2 linked regions of the Cricetulus griseus genome follow. The protein of the gene in region 2 purifies or fractionates together with the protein of the main gene of each other region. This does not show direct contact. Links are inferred from orthologs where the notes say so. Each region holds a gene or a part of one and is shown on either strand. Other genes may lie near its edges. The genes, in order: Rexo4 and Rbm28.

What was found.
Region 1: the proteins of Rbm28 (region 2) and Rexo4 purify together in Homo sapiens (affinity purification with mass spectrometry; 3 studies listed by BioGRID and IntAct, with this or other methods). This does not show direct contact. The link is inferred for Cricetulus griseus from reciprocal best matches to the Homo sapiens genes RBM28 and REXO4.

Annotation. Positions count from the first base shown.
Region 1 is NC_048599.1:138,644,139-138,653,452, reverse strand, and holds the start of Rexo4 (RNA exonuclease 4), read left to right. Parts: upstream 1-4,868; 5' UTR 4,869-5,198; coding exon 5,199-5,396; coding exon of another isoform or gene 5,397-5,412; intron 5,413-7,410; coding exon 7,411-7,754; intron 7,755-9,266; coding exon of another isoform or gene 9,267-9,282; intron 9,283-9,314.
Region 2 is NW_023276806.1:198,680,119-198,688,785, reverse strand, and holds the end of Rbm28 (RNA-binding protein 28), read right to left. Parts: coding exon 8,532-8,667; intron 8,230-8,531; coding exon 8,155-8,229; intron 4,898-8,154; coding exon 4,644-4,897; intron 3,607-4,643; coding exon 3,507-3,606; intron 951-3,506; coding exon 816-950; 3' UTR 468-815; downstream 1-467. UniProt on the Homo sapiens protein: Nucleolar component of the spliceosomal ribonucleoprotein complexes.

The sequences.
Region 1 (9,314 bases), on a different chromosome or scaffold from region 2:
GGGGGCTGGAGAGATGACTCAGAGGTTAAGAGCACTGACTGCTTTTCCAGAGGTCCTGAGTTCAATTCCCAGCAACCACATGGTGGCTCACAACCATCCGTTATGAGATCTGGTGCCCTCTTCTGGTGTGCAGATATACATGGAAGCAGAATGTTGGATACATAATAAATAAAATCTTTAAAAAAAAATAAAAAAGGGAAAAGGAAGAGGAATAATAACCAAAAAATAGATGAGAAGAAATAATCAAACTCAGGTTGAAATCAACAAAACAGAAACAAACAAAAACAATACCAAGAATCATAAAACAAAAAGTTGGCTAAGAGAGACATGCATGATACCCCAGAGAAGAAGAATCTTACAGGATCTCCTGAGCAAATTGGGAGTATGGGGGTGGGGGAGAGGGGAGGGGAGTGGGGAGTAATAGAGAGGAAGAAGAGGAGGGGAGAGGAGGACATGGGGGAGCAGGAAGGTTGAGTCAGGGGAAGAATAGAAGAGAGCAAGATAAGAGATATTATAATAGAGGGAGCCATTAAAGGTTTAAAGAGAAATCTTGCACTAGGGATATTTCCAGAGATCTACAAGGATGACACCAACTGGCATCTAAGCAATAGTGGAGAGGCTACCTTAAATGCCCTTTCTTGATCATGAGATTGATGAAGGCCATCCTAGAGCCTTCATCCAGTGGTTGATGGAAGCAGAGGCAGACACCCACAGCTAAACACTGAACTGAACTCCTTGAACCCAGTTGCAGAGAGGGACGAATGAGCAATGAGTCCAATGAGCAATGGGGGTCAAGACCAGAAACAGCTGACCTGAACAAGGGGGAGCTCTTGGTCTCCAGACTGATAGCTGGAAAACCAGCATGGGACTGATCCAGGCCCCATGAACGTGGGTGTCAGTGAGGAGGCCTCAACAATCTATGGGGCCTCGGGTAGTAGACCAGTATTTATCCCTGGCATACAAATGGACTTTGGGAGCCCATTCCACATGGAGTGATGCTGTCTCAGTCTGGACACGTGGGGGAGGACCTAAGCCCTGCCTGGGATGAAATGACAGACTTTGGATATCCCCCATGGAGGGCCTCACCCTCCCTGGGGAGCAGAGGGGGGATGGGGTGGGGGCTTGAGGGGGCTAGTGGGGGGTGGAGGAGGAGGGGAGGGAGAGGGAGCTGGGATTGACATGTGAAGCAAGTTTGTTACTAATTTTAAAAAAATAATGCTTGAACAAAAAGAAAGAAAGAAAGAAAGAAAGAAAGAAAGAAAGAAAGAAAGAAAACCAACAAACTTTTAGCCAAATTAACCAAAAGATGGAAGAGCCAAATTAACAAAATTAGAGAGGAAAAGAGAGAGAATACAATACACAGCAAAGGAATTCAGAGAATCATAAAGACATATTCCACCAAACTGGAAAACCTAAAAGAAACTGATTAATTTTTTGAAATATATGACTTACCAAAGTTAAATAAAGATGAAATAAACTAAACTAGGTCTGTAAGCCCTAGTTATGAGATTGGATTTAAGGCCTGCTGATTGGATTTAAGTCCTGCTCCATGAGATGGGACCCATACAGGACACTGCTAAAGTGGCCAAGCACCTGAGACCAAATATGTTATAGGTCTAGGAGGAAAACGACTACTATTATTCTGCTAAAGGAGCCTAGCAATAAAATGACTCCTAATGACATATTACTATACCCATAAATCAGTGCATCTCATCTCCATCAGAGACACTTCTCGCTGTAGATGTGAATTAACATAGAGAACAACTGGACAATGTGTAAACAGTGAGAGACTTCAGAGCACTTAGCCCTAAATGGGATGTCAAAATCTTCCCCTCAAGGCTCAGGCATCTATTTGGAAGAGGAGGTGGGAAGAATATAAGAGAGCCAGTGAATGACTCCAACAAAACAGTGTCTTTCAGATTAAAACACGACTCATACAAACTCACAGAGACTGAGACACCATTCATAGGGCCTGCAAAGGTTCAAGCCAGACAAAATCCTAGCACTGAGTGAAAGACCCCCGAAGGGATACTTTTGTAGAGGGAGACTCACACCCAGGAATCAGCGAGGCCACGAACTGGATGTAAAAACAAGAGGCTTTATTGGAGACGCGGGTACCCGGGGCGACTTAGCTTTTCTGAGGCCAAGCGCGCCGAGCCAAGGGAAAGGGGTCCTTATATAGGGAAAAAGGCGCAAGCTAGGAGCAGGGATTCTATTTGATGGTTCAAATGAGGCACAGAGCCATTCCAGATCAGCATATTCTCAAGGTCTGGTGTCTGGTACAACAGACTTGATTCCTCCCTCCGCGCCCAGGTGGCTGACCTTGGGGGCGGAGACCTTGGGACGGAGTGTTTCTCAACGGGGGGGGGCGTGGGGGCGAGGGGTGCCCTTTCCCTGCTCGGCCCCAGCCCCGGCGCGGTGCCAGGGCAGCCCCGCCTGGGTGAACCGGCTTGGGAGGGAAAACGGCAGCCGGGGGAAGTGGAGGCCGGCGGGGGCAGGGACAGCAGGATGAAGGTGAAGCAGGGCGGCTCTGCGGCAGCTCGCAGCTCCCGGACAATTATCGCCCCGCGCTGCACTCTCCAGCCCCTGGCCGTATCCTGGCTCTGCCCTGCTCCAGAGAGAACACCCAGCATCAGCATAGGCGGGGGGGAGACAGAGAGGCAGCGGGCCTTTCATGAGAAAGAGGAAGTAGACACAAAGTCCCACCCCTAACCAGGAAGTCATTTGTGATTGTTAACTTGCTGGGAAAGGTAAGGTAAGTTTTCTTCAGTGGAACGTCATTAGGTATATTAATCATACTCCAGGACAGGCTCAATGTCCAGGAGCAGTTGGCCACATAAAACAGACTCCATGGGGTTTTCCGTGGGCTTTTTGTTTTGTTTTGTCATTTGCATTTATTTTGATTTTAGTTCTGGTGAGAGACAGGGGAGGGAGAAAGAACCTGCAGCTGGGTGCAGAGTGAGAAGGGGGAGGATATGGAAAGAGGTGATGGAAGGAACAATAATCAAAATTGTATTGCATGAAAAAATTAAAGAAGGAAATAGCATGAATATTGACATTACAGGCCACAGAACTCAACAAATTAATTAAAATCCCAGTTCCTAGGATGAAAGTATAAAGGTAGAGGGAGTACTTGAGTAGTATGTGTAAAACCTTGGGTTTGATAGCACCAACAGAAAATTGGAAATAAATAAATCCTAGCTCCACCATAGTAACTATGTGACCTTGAACAAATTACTTAGATTTTTCTGACCTATTTTTCCATCAGTAAAAGTTAGTATTAAAACAGACATTTTTGGCTGGGCGTTGGTGGCGCCACGCCTTTAATCCCAGCACTCAGGAGGCAGAGGCAGGCAGATCTCTGTGAGTTCGAGGCCAGCCTGGTCTCCAGAGCGAGGACCAGGATCCGCTCCAAAGCCACACAGAGAAACTCTGTCTCGAAAAACCAAAAAAACCAAAAAAACAAAACAAAACAAAAACAGACATTTTGAAGGTGCGTGGTAGCACACACCTTTAATTCCAGCACTTGGGAGATAAAGACAGGCAGATCTATGCTAACCTGATCTACAAGCAAGTTCCAGCCCAGTTGAGCTACATAGTAAAAACCCAAAAACCCCGGCTCAAAAAAAAAAAAAAAAAAAGTGCCTCATCCAGTAGCTGGTGGAAGCAGAAGCAGACACTCACAGCTACACATGAGCTGAACTCTGGAATCCAGTTGCAGAGAGGGAGGCGTGATGAGCAAAGGGGTCAAGACCAGGCTGGAGAAACCCACAGAAACAGCTGACCTGAACAAGGGGTTGTTCATGGACCCCAGACTGATAGCTGGGAAACCAGAATGGGACTGTTCCAGACTCCCTGAATGAGGATTTCAGTTTGGAGGTCTGGTTAATCTGTGGGGCCTCTGGTAATGGATCATTATTTATCCCTAGTACAGGAATGGACTTTGGGAGCCCTCTCCACATAGAGGGATACTCTCTCAGCCTAGATACACTGGGAGGGTCTAGGTCCTGCTCCAAATATGACAGATTTTGAAGATCCCCCATGGAAGGCCTCACACCCCCTGGGGAGTAGAATAGGGTTGGGATTGGGGATCAGTGGGGGGCAGGGGAGGGAGAGGGAACTGAGATTGACATGTAAAAGGAGCTTGTTTCTAATTTAAATTTTAAAAAGCACCACTTCATGTATTGTTGAAATTACATAAATCAAAGTGTGTAAAAGCAATTGTCACGCAGTGAATGCTCAATAAATGAAAGGTTTGGTTACTACCAAGAGGTCATACCCAGAGGACATTCTGTAATAAGAAATGAGTAATCATGAAATGTGATTGTGTTCTAAGCAGACAGTACCTTGAGAGGGGAAAAATACCCACTTCGATTCTAGATCTCGAACTACCACGGATAACTATGCAAGTGCTAAATTTGCAATTTACAAAACTTCGTTTCTCTCCTAGTCATTGAACTCATCTGGATTCCTTGGGTCTTTAACTTAAGTAGAGAGGGATGCCAAACATGTTTGGCACAGGGGTTCTCACCACCTCCACCAAGTGTCTCCCTGACCTTCCTAAGTGGCCTGTGGACTTGCTGTACTTCTCAAACGAACGAAGGTGGAGGCCTCATCTGTGTAAATTAAGGGTCAAGCATGGATTGCTGGTCATTTATTAAGGCGGAGGTTAAGAAAAATATATGTACATTTTCACAATTAAAATCTTGTTTTATCATTGCTCTCAAAAATAACTGGCTTGCCACGCAGCCGTAAGATTCGGTAAACAGGACTAGCAATGCGGTCTGGCTGTGCAACCCTCAAAAGCTCCGCCCGAGCTCCTTCCGGCCTCCCGCGCGGTGCCACACCAGGAGTGGTCCTCCAAGTCTTTTCCGGTGTCGCTGCTTCTCATCATTCCCGCCCTCTGATGACTCCTAATTTTGGTAAAGGCCTGGGGTCCCTTCTGTCAAACTCTGGGTCCTCAGCCGCGGCGCCACTCACCAGAGCCGGCAGCCTGTATGGTGTTAACTGGCGGACCTGTTGCCCACTTCCCATGCGTGCGGAACCAGAGGTGCAGACTCGGTTTCCAGCAGATTGCGAAGAGAAGCGCTATCCGGGCTTCCTCAAGCGCTGTGGAGGTACTTTTGCGGGTGTGCTTCCGCCGTCGCCACTGAGTTCGAGTCTCTTCCCTCCTGGGTCGGGCTGCTGAGAACGACAAGATGAAGGCGAAGGCCACGGCGCCGGTTTCCCAACCTGAGCCTATCAAGGAGCTCGTTCGGAAGAAAGCCAGGAAGAGGTTCAGGAAGAGCAAAGCGCAGGGAGGAAGCGTGGCCCCGGGAAGCCTCCCAGCAGCTGTCGCAGTCCGACCGCCAAAGGCCCCAGAGAACTTTTCTCAAAATTGGAAGGCGCTGCAAGAGGTGAGACTGGCGACAGGCCACCTTCATCCCAGACTTTTGGTCGGGTAGCCACAGACCACGAAGGAGAACTGTGGGTGATTCCAAAACGTGGAAGGGCTGGCCGCTCCACATTGCGCAGACTCCTTCACAGGAACATCGGCCTTGTAGGCACGGCAGTAGTGCAGTTGTGGCTGTCTGGCCTTTTGACAATTTTAGTAGTGGCCGATGCTTCTATATACTATACAAGTTGCTCTTTGCTTTACTCAAATTATTATTTTTTCAATCATAAATCCCATATCTTGGTTGCTACCCTGCCAACGTCTTAAACTATATCCCAGAACTCTGGCCCCGACTACTCTGGAACTTGTGTAGCTCAGGGTTTTCCTGCACTAGTGGTAGTCCTCCTATGTTAGGTAGCCTCCCAAATGCTGGGATGACTGGTGTGAACCACTATATCAACCCTCACTCATACATTTTTACATTCTTGTGAGGTGCTTTTACTGTCCTTGTTTCTTAGATGGGGAAATTGAGACAGAGAGCATAGCATATAAACAGCAGAACTGGGTTACTGGCCATGCGTTTTGATCTGTTAAACTACAGGTATTCCTCTGGAGTGTATGCTATGGAGCCTCAGTTAATAAGAAAGAGTACAGACATTCTTGAGGTCCATAGCACTCCACCTTGTTCCTTTGTGTGGATTTTCCTGTCTGGACACACAGGACCAGCCAAACCCTGTGGACAGTTCTGTAAGCCAGTTCTTGTTTTTTTCTCCTAAGATAAAGTAAAATTAAATGTGTGGAATGCATATTTACTATAGGGAACTTTGAGTTGGCTCTGGTTTCTACAAGAATCTTAAACCCATTGTATCATCTCAGTTGTTTACCATCTTGCTGTGGTCTTAATTGGGGATTTGAATACACAGAAGAAATTGCTCTCCTAGCCTCTGCCTGGATAAGATCAAAGCTATGGCTCTTCTCACCATCCGTTGTTATGGGGTTTCTTCCTGCAAGGTCTGAGTAAACAGACCTAAGTAAACACACAGATGCTATATTAATTATAAAACTGTTGGCCGATGGCTAAGGCTTCTTACTGGCTAGCTCTGTCTATTTCCATTAATCTAAGTATTTCCACGTGGTCTTATCTTACCGGAGAATGGTCCGGACCTGTTCCCCTTCCTCTGCTACATGGCGAGCCTTTCCAGTGCTTCTCTGCCTACCTTTGCCAGAATTCTCCTTGTCTCCTAGCCCCGCCTATCTTCCTGCCTCTATCTACCAAACAGTGTTTTATTCATCAACCAATAAGAGAAACATATATACAGAAGGACATCTCCCATCAAACCATCTATGGTTTGACATGATTTCTTTCTTTCCATTGAACTCCCTTCCCTTGGGTCTTCCTCAGACCCTGAGGTGTAGCCAACCTCCAGAGACAGTGTAAAGGAGGTGTTCATTGTGTCCTTGAGTGTTGACCATGAATCACTCTAAATGCAACTTCTTATGAAAGAAGTGAAAATGATGCTCCTGCCCCAGGCTTAATGAAGTGCTCTGGTGTATTCAGTCACTCGGGTACACATGGTATAGAGCTTGAAATGCAGAGTGCAAAAGCAGCATTGCTGGGTTATGCATTGTAATAAGCAGAGGAAAGGAATCTCAATGCCAGTAAACCAGGCTTTTCCAGGGGCTGGAGAGATGGCTTAGTAATCAAGAATGTGGATACTCTTCCAGAGGATCCTGGTTTCATTTCTGGCATCCATATGGTGATTACAACTGTCTGTGATTTTAGTTGTAGGGGATCCAATGTCCTCTTCTGTCCTCTTTGGGCACCAGGCATGCATTTGGTGCACAGACACATGCAAGCAAAACACCCATGCATATAAAAATAAATTTTTAAAATGCTTTCCCAAATAATTTCCTATTGGGGATGGTGACTGGAGGTGTGTATGTGGATGGTAGATACATTTGCATACAAGTTTCTTTAATCTGGTATGTCAGTTCAGAATTGAAATGTGGCTTGTATTTAATTCTGATCCCATTAGCTGCTGAAACAGAAGTCACAAGCTCCAGAAAAACCTCTTGTCTCTCAGATGGATGACAAAATGCATCCCCAAATAATCCAGCAGAACAAAAAAGAGACTTCAGATAAAGCAAAGGGAGATGGGAAGAGGACAGAAAAAGACCAGACCATTAAGGGTTCTGTTACCGCTCTGTCTAAGAAGGACAGGAAGAGACCTGTACCTCCCACAAATTCCTCTGGACCAGAACAGAAGAAAAGTGCCCAGAAGAGGACATTTAGTGACAACGCTTCTCATCAGGAGGACATCAAGCATAAATGGAAAGCTAAGGAGGTAGCTGTCGTCTTGAATCAGTCCTCACCTACTGAGTGAGTATCAACTCTGCTGTGGTGACTAGTATGTCCTTTGCTGCCTGGGCCACAGATTCAGATGGTCCTTAATGTGCATCTAGCCTCCACTGTCTTCACCGATAAGAAGAAATGACCATTCGGCCCTGGTGCAGTCTTCCTCACCTGACACTATGGTGTTTGTTTTGTTGTTCTCTTGTCACGTGTTTCCCCTAGAGTGTGGGTTGCTGAAGGCAGACTCTATTGTACAGTCAGTGTGGTGTCCTTGGACCCCAACATAGAGCTTGGCATAAGGTAAATTCGAGCAAGAACTTTGGCATAATGTAGGCTGGAACCAGAATGAGTCATGTGAAACCCAGTCCTGCCTCTTGCCAGTTGATGACTTTGGGCTGGTTTCTTTCTCAGTGTGTCCTTCTATATAATTAGGGGGACTGAGGTGCAGCATGTGTTGCTTAGTGTCTTTTGGCTACTTAATGAGCACTGTAGTGACACTTCTCTTGGAATGGATATGCTTATAAGGCAAGCTGGCTCCTGCTATCTGAGCCTTCCCTTCCCTTCCCTTTAGCCTAAACAAAAGCATCTCCTTGGGAACCAGAAGAAGGAAATGTATTTATGAAAGCTTTGTCAAGTCAAGCTAACAGCCCCTGACAGACTACAGGACATAGTACTGAAGGGTAAAGGGATGTGGGCTTGGCTGTCTCTTCTGAGTCATATAGGCAGGCTGACCTAGACGGGCAACATAGGCGTCTTTCCTAAGGCTAATATAAGCAGGGGAGGCACATAGATGTTTACCTGAGCATTTGTAAGGGGGTGGTCAGGGTAGCCTAGTGAAGAAGGCAAAGAACACAAAACAGGAAGCCTGTCAGTTGAGCACTTTTGAGTAATGACATTGAAATCAGGCTAAAAAGCTGGAGTTTACAAAATAGCCGTGGAGCATCCACTATCAATTGTCTTTCTCACTCTTGCAAAATGTGAAGACAGTGCAAGGCATATGTCCCTATCTGTCATGCAGTCCTCCTACCTGTGTGTCTTGATAGCACATCTATTGTTTAATTAGAAAATGTTAGTGGTCCTTCTACTGGTGAGTCACATGTTTCTGTTTTACATTTGTTGTTTTTATCTGTAGTTCCTAAGTCTTGGATAATAGGTATATTTGCAAATTTAAAAGAACAGCGGTGAGGGGCTGAAAAGATGGCTCAGTGGTTAAGAGCACTAGCTGCTGTTTCAGAGGCTTGGATTCCCACATGGAAGCACACAACCTTCTGTAACTCCAATTCCAGGGGATCCCATGCATGCCCTTTTCTGGCCATCACAGGCACCAGGTATGCAAGTAATACTTGCAGGAAAAACACCTATACGAATAAAATAGTCAAGGAAAGAAAGAACAGCAGTAAAAGGGAAGTGCAGCAGCAGGTTCAGCTGGACAGTGTGTGCAGGGGAAATAGTCCTGCAGCCCTCATGGTGCTGCCCTCTCACTGCCAGCCTTCCTGCTCCTCACAGCCTACCAACTGGGCAGAGAGATTCTTTGAATAGGCATCCAGTGCCCCATGTCTTTTCACAGCTAGGTACTCTCATCTTTGC
Region 2 (8,667 bases):
GACTCTCCCTGATACTCACACTCTCCACCCCAGTTTTCTTTAGAAGAGAGAAAGTATGGTAAAAAGCATTTTAAAAGTATGTAGGGCAGGGAACAACCAGGAGAACATTTAGTTCAATCCTTTATTTAGGATGACTAAACTAAGACTCTGCCACCTCCTCAGCACTTAGGGTAGAAGCTAAGCCTCATGCCCACTGCTTTCCCATGGGCTCTCAGTCCCCAGGACACAGTGCTCCGTGGGATACACTTGGGCCATCCTTGGTCAGGGAGTGTCTAGCCACTGCAATCTGATTTCTAGCCAGCATTACGCCTCCAGGGGCAGACACTTAGTAGGTGATGCTTGTACCAGGCCCAGGGCCTTCAGTTACAAGTCAAATGTGTACCACATTCAAAGACCACGTTAGTAAACATTTTTCTCTGTTCTTAGCTCTTATAGACTATCTAACTGAATTAAAAATGTTAAAAATGTTCACTCATAAATAATATATTTGGTATATTAAAAATGAGACACATCCAAAAGTCACAATTGCTCATTTACAGATTCCATAACAAAATAGGCATCTTAAAAATTCAGTACTTCAAAACACTTTTTTACAATAGTTTCCATCAAAGAAGAAAATAGAAATGAATTACAATTATATGCACAGTTTCAGCAATATGGATGAGATGTAAAAACTCCACGGTGTTTTCAGGTATGTTTTCCTCCCATGCTGGAGAAGGGACCAAGAATGTACACACCCTACAGAGTCCCCAAGAATGGGGTATCATCGGGATGCACTTCCCCTCTGTGAAAGACACAGCTTTCTGCAGGCGGCATCAAGTATCAAACCACTTGCTTCTCTTCATAAGGGGTGGTCCCTTAGAAGGACCCAACAATTTCTGCTTATACTGTTCAACCAGTTGGTTGAAGTGGGCTTCTGCCTTATTTTCCTTAGCTTTCTTCTTAGGTGCCTGTGAAAAACAGGAGACATAAAACAATCAGTCTTTCCCTTTTTCTTTCTTTCCCTCCCTCCCTTTGCTTTCTTGTTTTCTTACTTGCCTGCCTTCTTTTCTACAGACCTGAAACTCACTCTATACTTGAGGAGGACCTTGAACTCCTGACCCTCATCTATCCTCCTTTAAAGGACCACCATGCTTAGTTAATTTCAAACACTAAATATCACCTTACTGTCAAGACACCCCAAACAGAATATAAGCTGGTACACTAGGAAGACGATTTCTAAAGAGAAACCTAATTTGAACATCCTTGTTTGCTCTTGCCCCAAGAATTCCATTTATAAAATTTCAGAGACTAGATCTCTACAACATAATATGATATGGTCAGAAATTTCCCACAGACAGATTTGAGTAGGACAGGGTGCTAGTGACTCTTCTACTCTTAGAGGGAAGGAAGAGAAAGCTTGACCTCAAATGCACAAGAACCCAGGACTAGAGCTGGAGAGATGGCTCAGGGTTAAAGGCACTGGCTGCTCTTCCAGAGGATCCAGAACCTGTTTCCAGTACCCACAATGCATCAAAAAACCACCTGTATCTCCAGACCTAGGGGATTCAATGCCCTCTTCTGGTCTCTGTCACATCACCCATGTCTGCAGTACAGAGACATACATGCAGGCAAGAGACCCATACATATAAAAGAATGTCTTTATTTAAAAAAAAAAAAAAATAGAGCACAGGACCATTAATTTCTATTCAAAAGAACTAGAGCTCCTTGGGAAAATGGCTATTGCCAGAAACTGGGAAAGAAACCACATAAGATGGGCCTAGAACATCTTGTACAAGAAAGCAACATTACCAAAGACAGACAAGGTCATTTCAGAAGGACAGGGAGCCGACCCAAAGATGCTTCTGTTGCCTTAGAACAAGAATGATGACCACATTTGATTGAAACACAGTGAGTTACAGGAAAATTTGGGATTCCATAATACTTAATACAGACATACATACATACATACATACATACATACATACACACACACACACACCAGCCTCACAAGCCACATAGCAGTTCACTTCTCTGAAACTGATAGAGCAAGAGGAAGGAAAAAAAATCATCTAACTTGTCTTTCCTATATGTAAGAGTCTCCTTTCTACAAGTCTTAGAACTCTATTTTTAAGTGCAAAGGGGCTGTCTTAATTGGAAAATCACCATTCTGTAACCCATTATGAAATCACAGGTGTACATGATAATCCCTTGTTTTTAAAAGCCAAAGGTGAGCAGTTAGGGACATAGGTCAACAGTAGAGCACTTTCTAAGCATGACAGCAGCCTTGTGATGGGGGATGTCCTGCCTGTATGCTGTAAATATATGTTTCTCTCATTGGTTTAGTAAAATGCTGACTGGCCAGCAGCCAGGCAGGAAGTATAGTGGGGCTGCCAAACAAGGAGAATGCTGGGAAGAGAAACAGAGAAGAACACCTTGGAGCTACAGGGAAGATAGGACACTGGGCATTCTCCGGTAAGATAAGGCCATGTAGAAATGCACAGATTAATATTTATGGGTTAGTAATTAAGAGAGAGCTGGCCATTTAGAAGTCTAAGCCATTGGCCAAACAGTTTATAATTAATATAAACCTGTGTGTTTATCTGGGGCTAAACGGAAGCAGGACTAGGCAGAACAGAAACTCTGTTAACAGCCTTGGGTCAGACCCCTAGCACTGCAAAGCCAAAAAACTAAACAGTAACTGAGAAGATGGGAGGGGATTTTCTCAATAGAACAATAAAGTGGACAATTCTGACACCTACTGACTGATCTTGGCATTACTAACAGTGAAGTGTTCTTTCCAAGAAAACTAAATCTGGTTATACCTCTAGACTGTTCTACCAGCTGACAGTCAAGACAAGGTGCCCCGGGGACAAGTGACATGATACCATAAGGAAGTAAGCAGCTGAACTCAACATAAAATACATCCTTAAAGACAAATGACTGTTTATCCAACAAATTAACAACACCAACACGGGGAGAAAGAATGTGGTAAGAAAGGATAAACACCATAGGATGAAGAAAGGAAGGCAGGGAAGGAGGAAGGGATACCACAAATGTCATGTGTGGACTTTGTTAGCATCCTAACAGGCACTAACCAAAAATAAAGAACACTGTTGAGGCAATTAGGAACATTTTAATAGGGGCTATATATTAGAGAGTATAAGGAGCTTCTGATTAATCTCAGTAGATACGATAATGACATTGTGCGTGTGTTTGTGTGACGAGTTGGCCATTAGAAATGTAGTCTCAAGTTTTTCTGAGCAATCTATCTATTGAGATATATTTACGTGTAGGATTTGCTTCCATACACTGCAGAGGGGGAAAGCAGGTACAGGAAACAGGAAACACAAGATAACTGCTCAAGCAGATCGACAAGTCATAGAGGCTTACTTTCCTCTCCATTACTGAACCTCACCCTCTGAAGAGCTGCAGCCCGGAACGGAGAAGCCTTACTTCAGAAAGGTGACGATCTGCTCAGTCCCACAAAGCCACAGCACCCAAACCACAAGCCCCACGGAACTCACCTGCAAAGAAGGTAACTGCTGCTGCTTCTGTTTCCGCTGGCCTGTCTGGGGCTTTGACTTCTTAGGAGGAAGGGACTTCACTTTGCCTTTGTCCCGCAACCTGAAATAAGACAGCCAGGTATATGCTGCATTAATTCTTTCTCTGGTTAGTATCCTTAGCCTCTCTCTCTTTCTCTCTCTCTCTCTCTCTCTCTCTCTCTCTCTCTCTCTCTCTCTCTCTCTCTCTCCTTATTTAATTTAATTTATTTAATGTGCATTGCTGTTTTGCCATGGATGTTGGGTTCCCAAGAACTGGAGTTACAGACAGTTGTGAGCTGCCATGTGAGTACTGGAAATTGAACCTTGGGTCCTCTGGAAGAGCAGTCAGTGCTCTTAACCACTGAGCCATCTCTCTAGCCCCATCCTTGGAATCTTTTAAAGAACTCAAGAGACAAATTTCTTTAATACATAGCTGTTTCTTTTTTGTTTGTTTTTTCAAGATAGGTTTCTCTATGTAGCCCTGGCTGTCCTGGAACTAGATCTGTAGACCAGGCTGACCTTGAATTCAGAGATCCGCCTGCCTCTGATGCCCAAGTACTGGGACTAAAGGTGTGCACCATAACCACCTGGCTTAGTCACTCTTAAATGGAGTCTACAACCGTATATATATCCTAAGTCACAATAGTTATATATTCGTTTGTCTCTATTTATTTTTGCTAAGACTTCAATGGAAATCACGAAAACTATCATTTACTTACCAAGATTTTTTTTGGGGGGCGGGATATAATGGTGTGTGGTGGTTCAAGATTTTTTTTTTTTAAGATACATAGCACTAATCTACTGTCACAGCACTGAATGTACATAACACTAATCTACGGTCCCAAAGAGAAAGAATAAGCGACCCTCAGCTGACATGAAAAGCTCTGAAAAGACAAGGATGGCATGCAGTCTGCCCTGATGGTTCCTCCAAGGTTCCCTCTACCATCTGATCCAAGGCAACATTTCTGCTGGGGCTGAGACCTTTCTGTTAACTTCGCATGGGGAACTAGCACCGCCCCAACACCCTCTTCATCTAACAAATGCTACAGAGAAAAAGAGCTGCATCAAGACAAATGCACTTAGAAGCTCCCTCCTCTACAGAGCTCTCCTGCATCTCACCTAATTTTGGGGCCTCGGTGTGAAGGGAGTGCCAGGACCTTTCTTCTCTTCTTCCCATCAGGCAGCTCCACCTGCTCCACTTCAGCCTTGGTCTGGAACCCTGTCCACGAGGTGGGGCGGGCCTTCCCTTTCTGCTCTCCAGAAGCCTGGCTGGGATTCTGTGTAGGCCTCACTGCTTTCTGTTGCTTGTCTTTCCCATGTTCTTTTTGCTCCTTTTGGGGCTTACCGGTTACAGGCTTAGATGACATTTTTTGCTGCAGAAAACAAGAAATTGCCACCTGGTTTCTGGATGAGGTTACCTGATGAATACGCAGCAGAGGATGAGCCTGCTGTTGGGTGTGCTGAAAGAGGGACTCTTCCTCCACAGAGTTGGAGACTTCAGCAAAGTACATACAAAGCAGTTCACACCACTGCAGGGCAGACATACACACACTCTCTCTCCTCTCTCTTCTCTCCCCCCATCTCAAAACAAAACCAACAAAACCAAACCCAGAAACATTAAGCAGTAGCCCAAGATTCAAAAGCAGTAGGAAGGAACAACTGTCAAAAGTGAATCCTGGGCCAGGCATGACAACACACACCTGGAATCCTAGTCACTGGGAAGGAAGGAATGGATCTGGGCTATTTGAGATTCTGTTTCAAAAAACACCTGCCCCCCCCCACCCCCCCCCACCCCCCCCGCCACACACACACAGTGTAACACAGCAGCAGAAACAAAGCAACTGAGAACTACTTAACATAATACAGCTAGGAAATTTCAAAACACTGACAGACATTAAGCCAGAGCTCTAAGAGCTGAGAGAAAACCAACAAAACAAACACCCCAAGCTCCACAACTAGATTTATCAGTCACTTTGCAGTAAACAATGTATAGAAACAGAAGATAGCATGAGGTAGCTGAGGTTCCAAAAGACAAAATTACCAAATCTAGATTCTGTACCCAATGAAATTATCTTTCACAAAAGTGAATGACTGTCTCAGATAAAAACCAAACCAAACAAACAAAAAACAATTGCCAGGAAATCTGTTTTGCAAGAAATGCTACACAAATTCCTCCCGAGACCGGAAATGGCATAAACTGAAAACCTAGGTCAACATGAAGGTAAGAATGTCAGAGATGGGGTCAGTGAAGGAAGGAAGGAAGGCAAAGGGATGCTAGAGCTTCAAATGCAAGCATAAGGATGTTGAAGGTTTACCAGCACTGATCTAGGAAAAAGAGTCAAGTAAAATGAATGTAAAAATAAATGTTATTTTGCCATTTGTAATTTAATCTAAATAGGCATGTTGATACAATATTAATTAAATGCCTACTGTGCACTAGTCTGTCTGTAAGATACAGTTACAAACAACAAAATGTTTACTTTTAGGATTCCCAGACTAGTGTAAATAAAAGACATGTGGTGGTGTGAATGAAAATATCCCCCAGACTTAGGTGTCTAAACGCTTGGTCCCCAGATGGTGTTGGTTGTAGAATATTATTTTAATTAGGCAAAGATGCACATTTGCTTATGCTACATTTGTTTAATTTCGTAAACGTGTGTTGCATTTGTTTCACCTGGCCTGTCTAAGGTAACTGATTGGTCTAATAAAAAGCTGAACAGCCAACAGGATGGAGTGAGGTTGGCAGGCAGAGAGAATAAATAGGAGAAATCTAGTATCTAGAAGAGGAAGGAGAAGAGAGGAGAGAATGAAGGACATGCCCCTAGGGCAAGACGGGGGGGGGGGGGGGGGCGCCAGACATACAGAAGCAGTGAAAGACAGATATATAGAAGTGAGAAAGAGGTGGGAGCTGGAGAGAGGTGGCTCAGAGGTTAAGAGCACTGAATGCTCTTCCAGAGGTCCTGAGTTCAATTCCCAGCAACCACATGGTAGCTCACAACCATCTGTAATGAGATCTGGTGCCCTCTTCTGACCTGCAGGCATACATGCAGACAGAATATTGAATACATAATACAATAAATAAATAAAATTAAAAAAAAAAAGAAGTGAGAAAGGTAATAAGCCTCAAGCCAAAAGGTAGATAAGAAGAAACAGGTTCATTTAAGTTAAAAGAGCTAGCAGAAATGAGCCTAAGCTAAGCCGAGCATTCCAAACTACTAATAAATCTCTGTGTCATGATTTGGGAGCTGGTTAGTGGCCTAAAGGAAAAAGCCCGGTACAGTTTGGGAAGGTTAAAGAGGTACAGTGAAGGAAAACACTAGCAAGGGCAGGCTTTGAGAGTTCATAGGCGTGCCCTGATTCCAGTTTGCTTGAGGCTTGCAGTTGAGGGTGTGGGCTCTCAGCTTCCTCCTCTGTGGTCATGCCTGCTGCTTGTTGCTAGGCCTCCCTGCCAGGATGGGGTCCTACCCTTCAGAAGCATGAGCCCAAATAAACTCTCCCTTTCCTAAGCTGCTTTCGGTCATGGTGTTTTATCACAGCGATAAAACAGTAACTAAAAGAAGACACACATAAATAAAATAAAAAACAAATAATCAAGGAAGTTGATGGAAGCCTATGTAATGAGGGCTTATCTTATAGTGGAAGGTTCACTTGCTGTGAATGAGGAAAGTGAGAAATGGCCCTGTAAGTCAGGAGAACAGACCACTTTATAATGAAAGTGCAGTATGAGAATAAACACAGGAAACAAAGAATTCAAAGAAAACACAGGCAGCTTCAGAAACCCCCCTGAAGCCTTGGCTAAAGGCAATATTATCTGGGGTAAAGAGTTGGCATGTACAAGGATAGGACCCCAGGTTCTCCATGAAGGCCACAGGTACTCCTCTCTCCACACTAACTGAAATGATCTAAAAATACCCAGTGTCATGCTGAGACTGGAGGATTTTGAGTTCAAGACAAGTTTAGACGACAAAGGGAGCCCCTGTCTCAGATGATGATTCTGAAACTTAACCTGAGCCACTAGTTTTGACACGGCCCCCACACACCATACAAGAGCTCATGATGGATCGGAACATCGGTTTGCATTCCTCCTATCTTGCCCTTCTGTGCAGCTCAGAAGAGAGACAGCAAAGAAGAAAACACCAGGGAGTCTTAGGAGAAACTGAGTAAAATCCTACTTCGCAGAAGCACAAATTTAAAAAAGGAAGTTTAATTAAGCTCTAAAAAAAAAAAAAAAAAGGGCTGGATATGACAGCATACACCTTAAATCCCAGCAGTTGAGGCAGAGACATCTTTGAGAGTTCTGGGTTAGCTAGAGCTACCCAGTGAGATTGTCATAAACAACCAAAACCAAACAAACAAAGCCTAGTAAGATGGCTCAGCAAGTAAAGGCACTTGCCACCAAGCCCAATGGCCTGAGTTCAATCCCAAGACACACATGGTAGAAAGAGAAAACCAACGTCCCCAAGTTGTCTTCTGACCTCCAGAAGAAAAGGTACAGACACAAAGGCATTTTCTCCCCCCACCCCCAACACACACCATAGATAGGTAGGTAGGTAGGTAGATAGATAGATAGATAGATAGATACATAGATAGATGACAAAACCAAACCCAATCAAACATTTAGGTTCAATACCAGGCTGCGTTGGATCCTCAGCTCCTTTACTTTAAGTTTCCTTCGATCCTCTAAAGAGAACTCCACTATCGGTCTCTGTCAGGGAGACAGAATGTCATTCGTAAGACTTTGTAACCTGTGAGTGCAATAAGCCTACTTGGTCCTTCCACCCAGCCTCTGTAAACATGGAGGCTGCTTCTCACGTCTTCTTTAATGCCAGTTCTGTAGGCAGTCCGTCCAGTCTACTCATTTTATAAGCATCTTCTTGCCTAGAGTTACCATCTATTTTCCCCACCTCCACCCAGACCACTTGGTACTCTTCCCACCATTCAAATATCGGGGGCACTGAACAGTTAAACCCTCAGAAAAATGGGGTCTCCCTGGAGGCTGAGGCTTACCTTCTGAGAGCCAAAGATTTCTGGGTTATTGTTGATATGGCGGAGGGCTCTGAGGGCGTGCTCGTGCTTCTGGAACTCTGCAAAGGCATAGCCCAGGGACTGACCCTTCGTTTTTCCATGAACTGCTTTAAGGTCC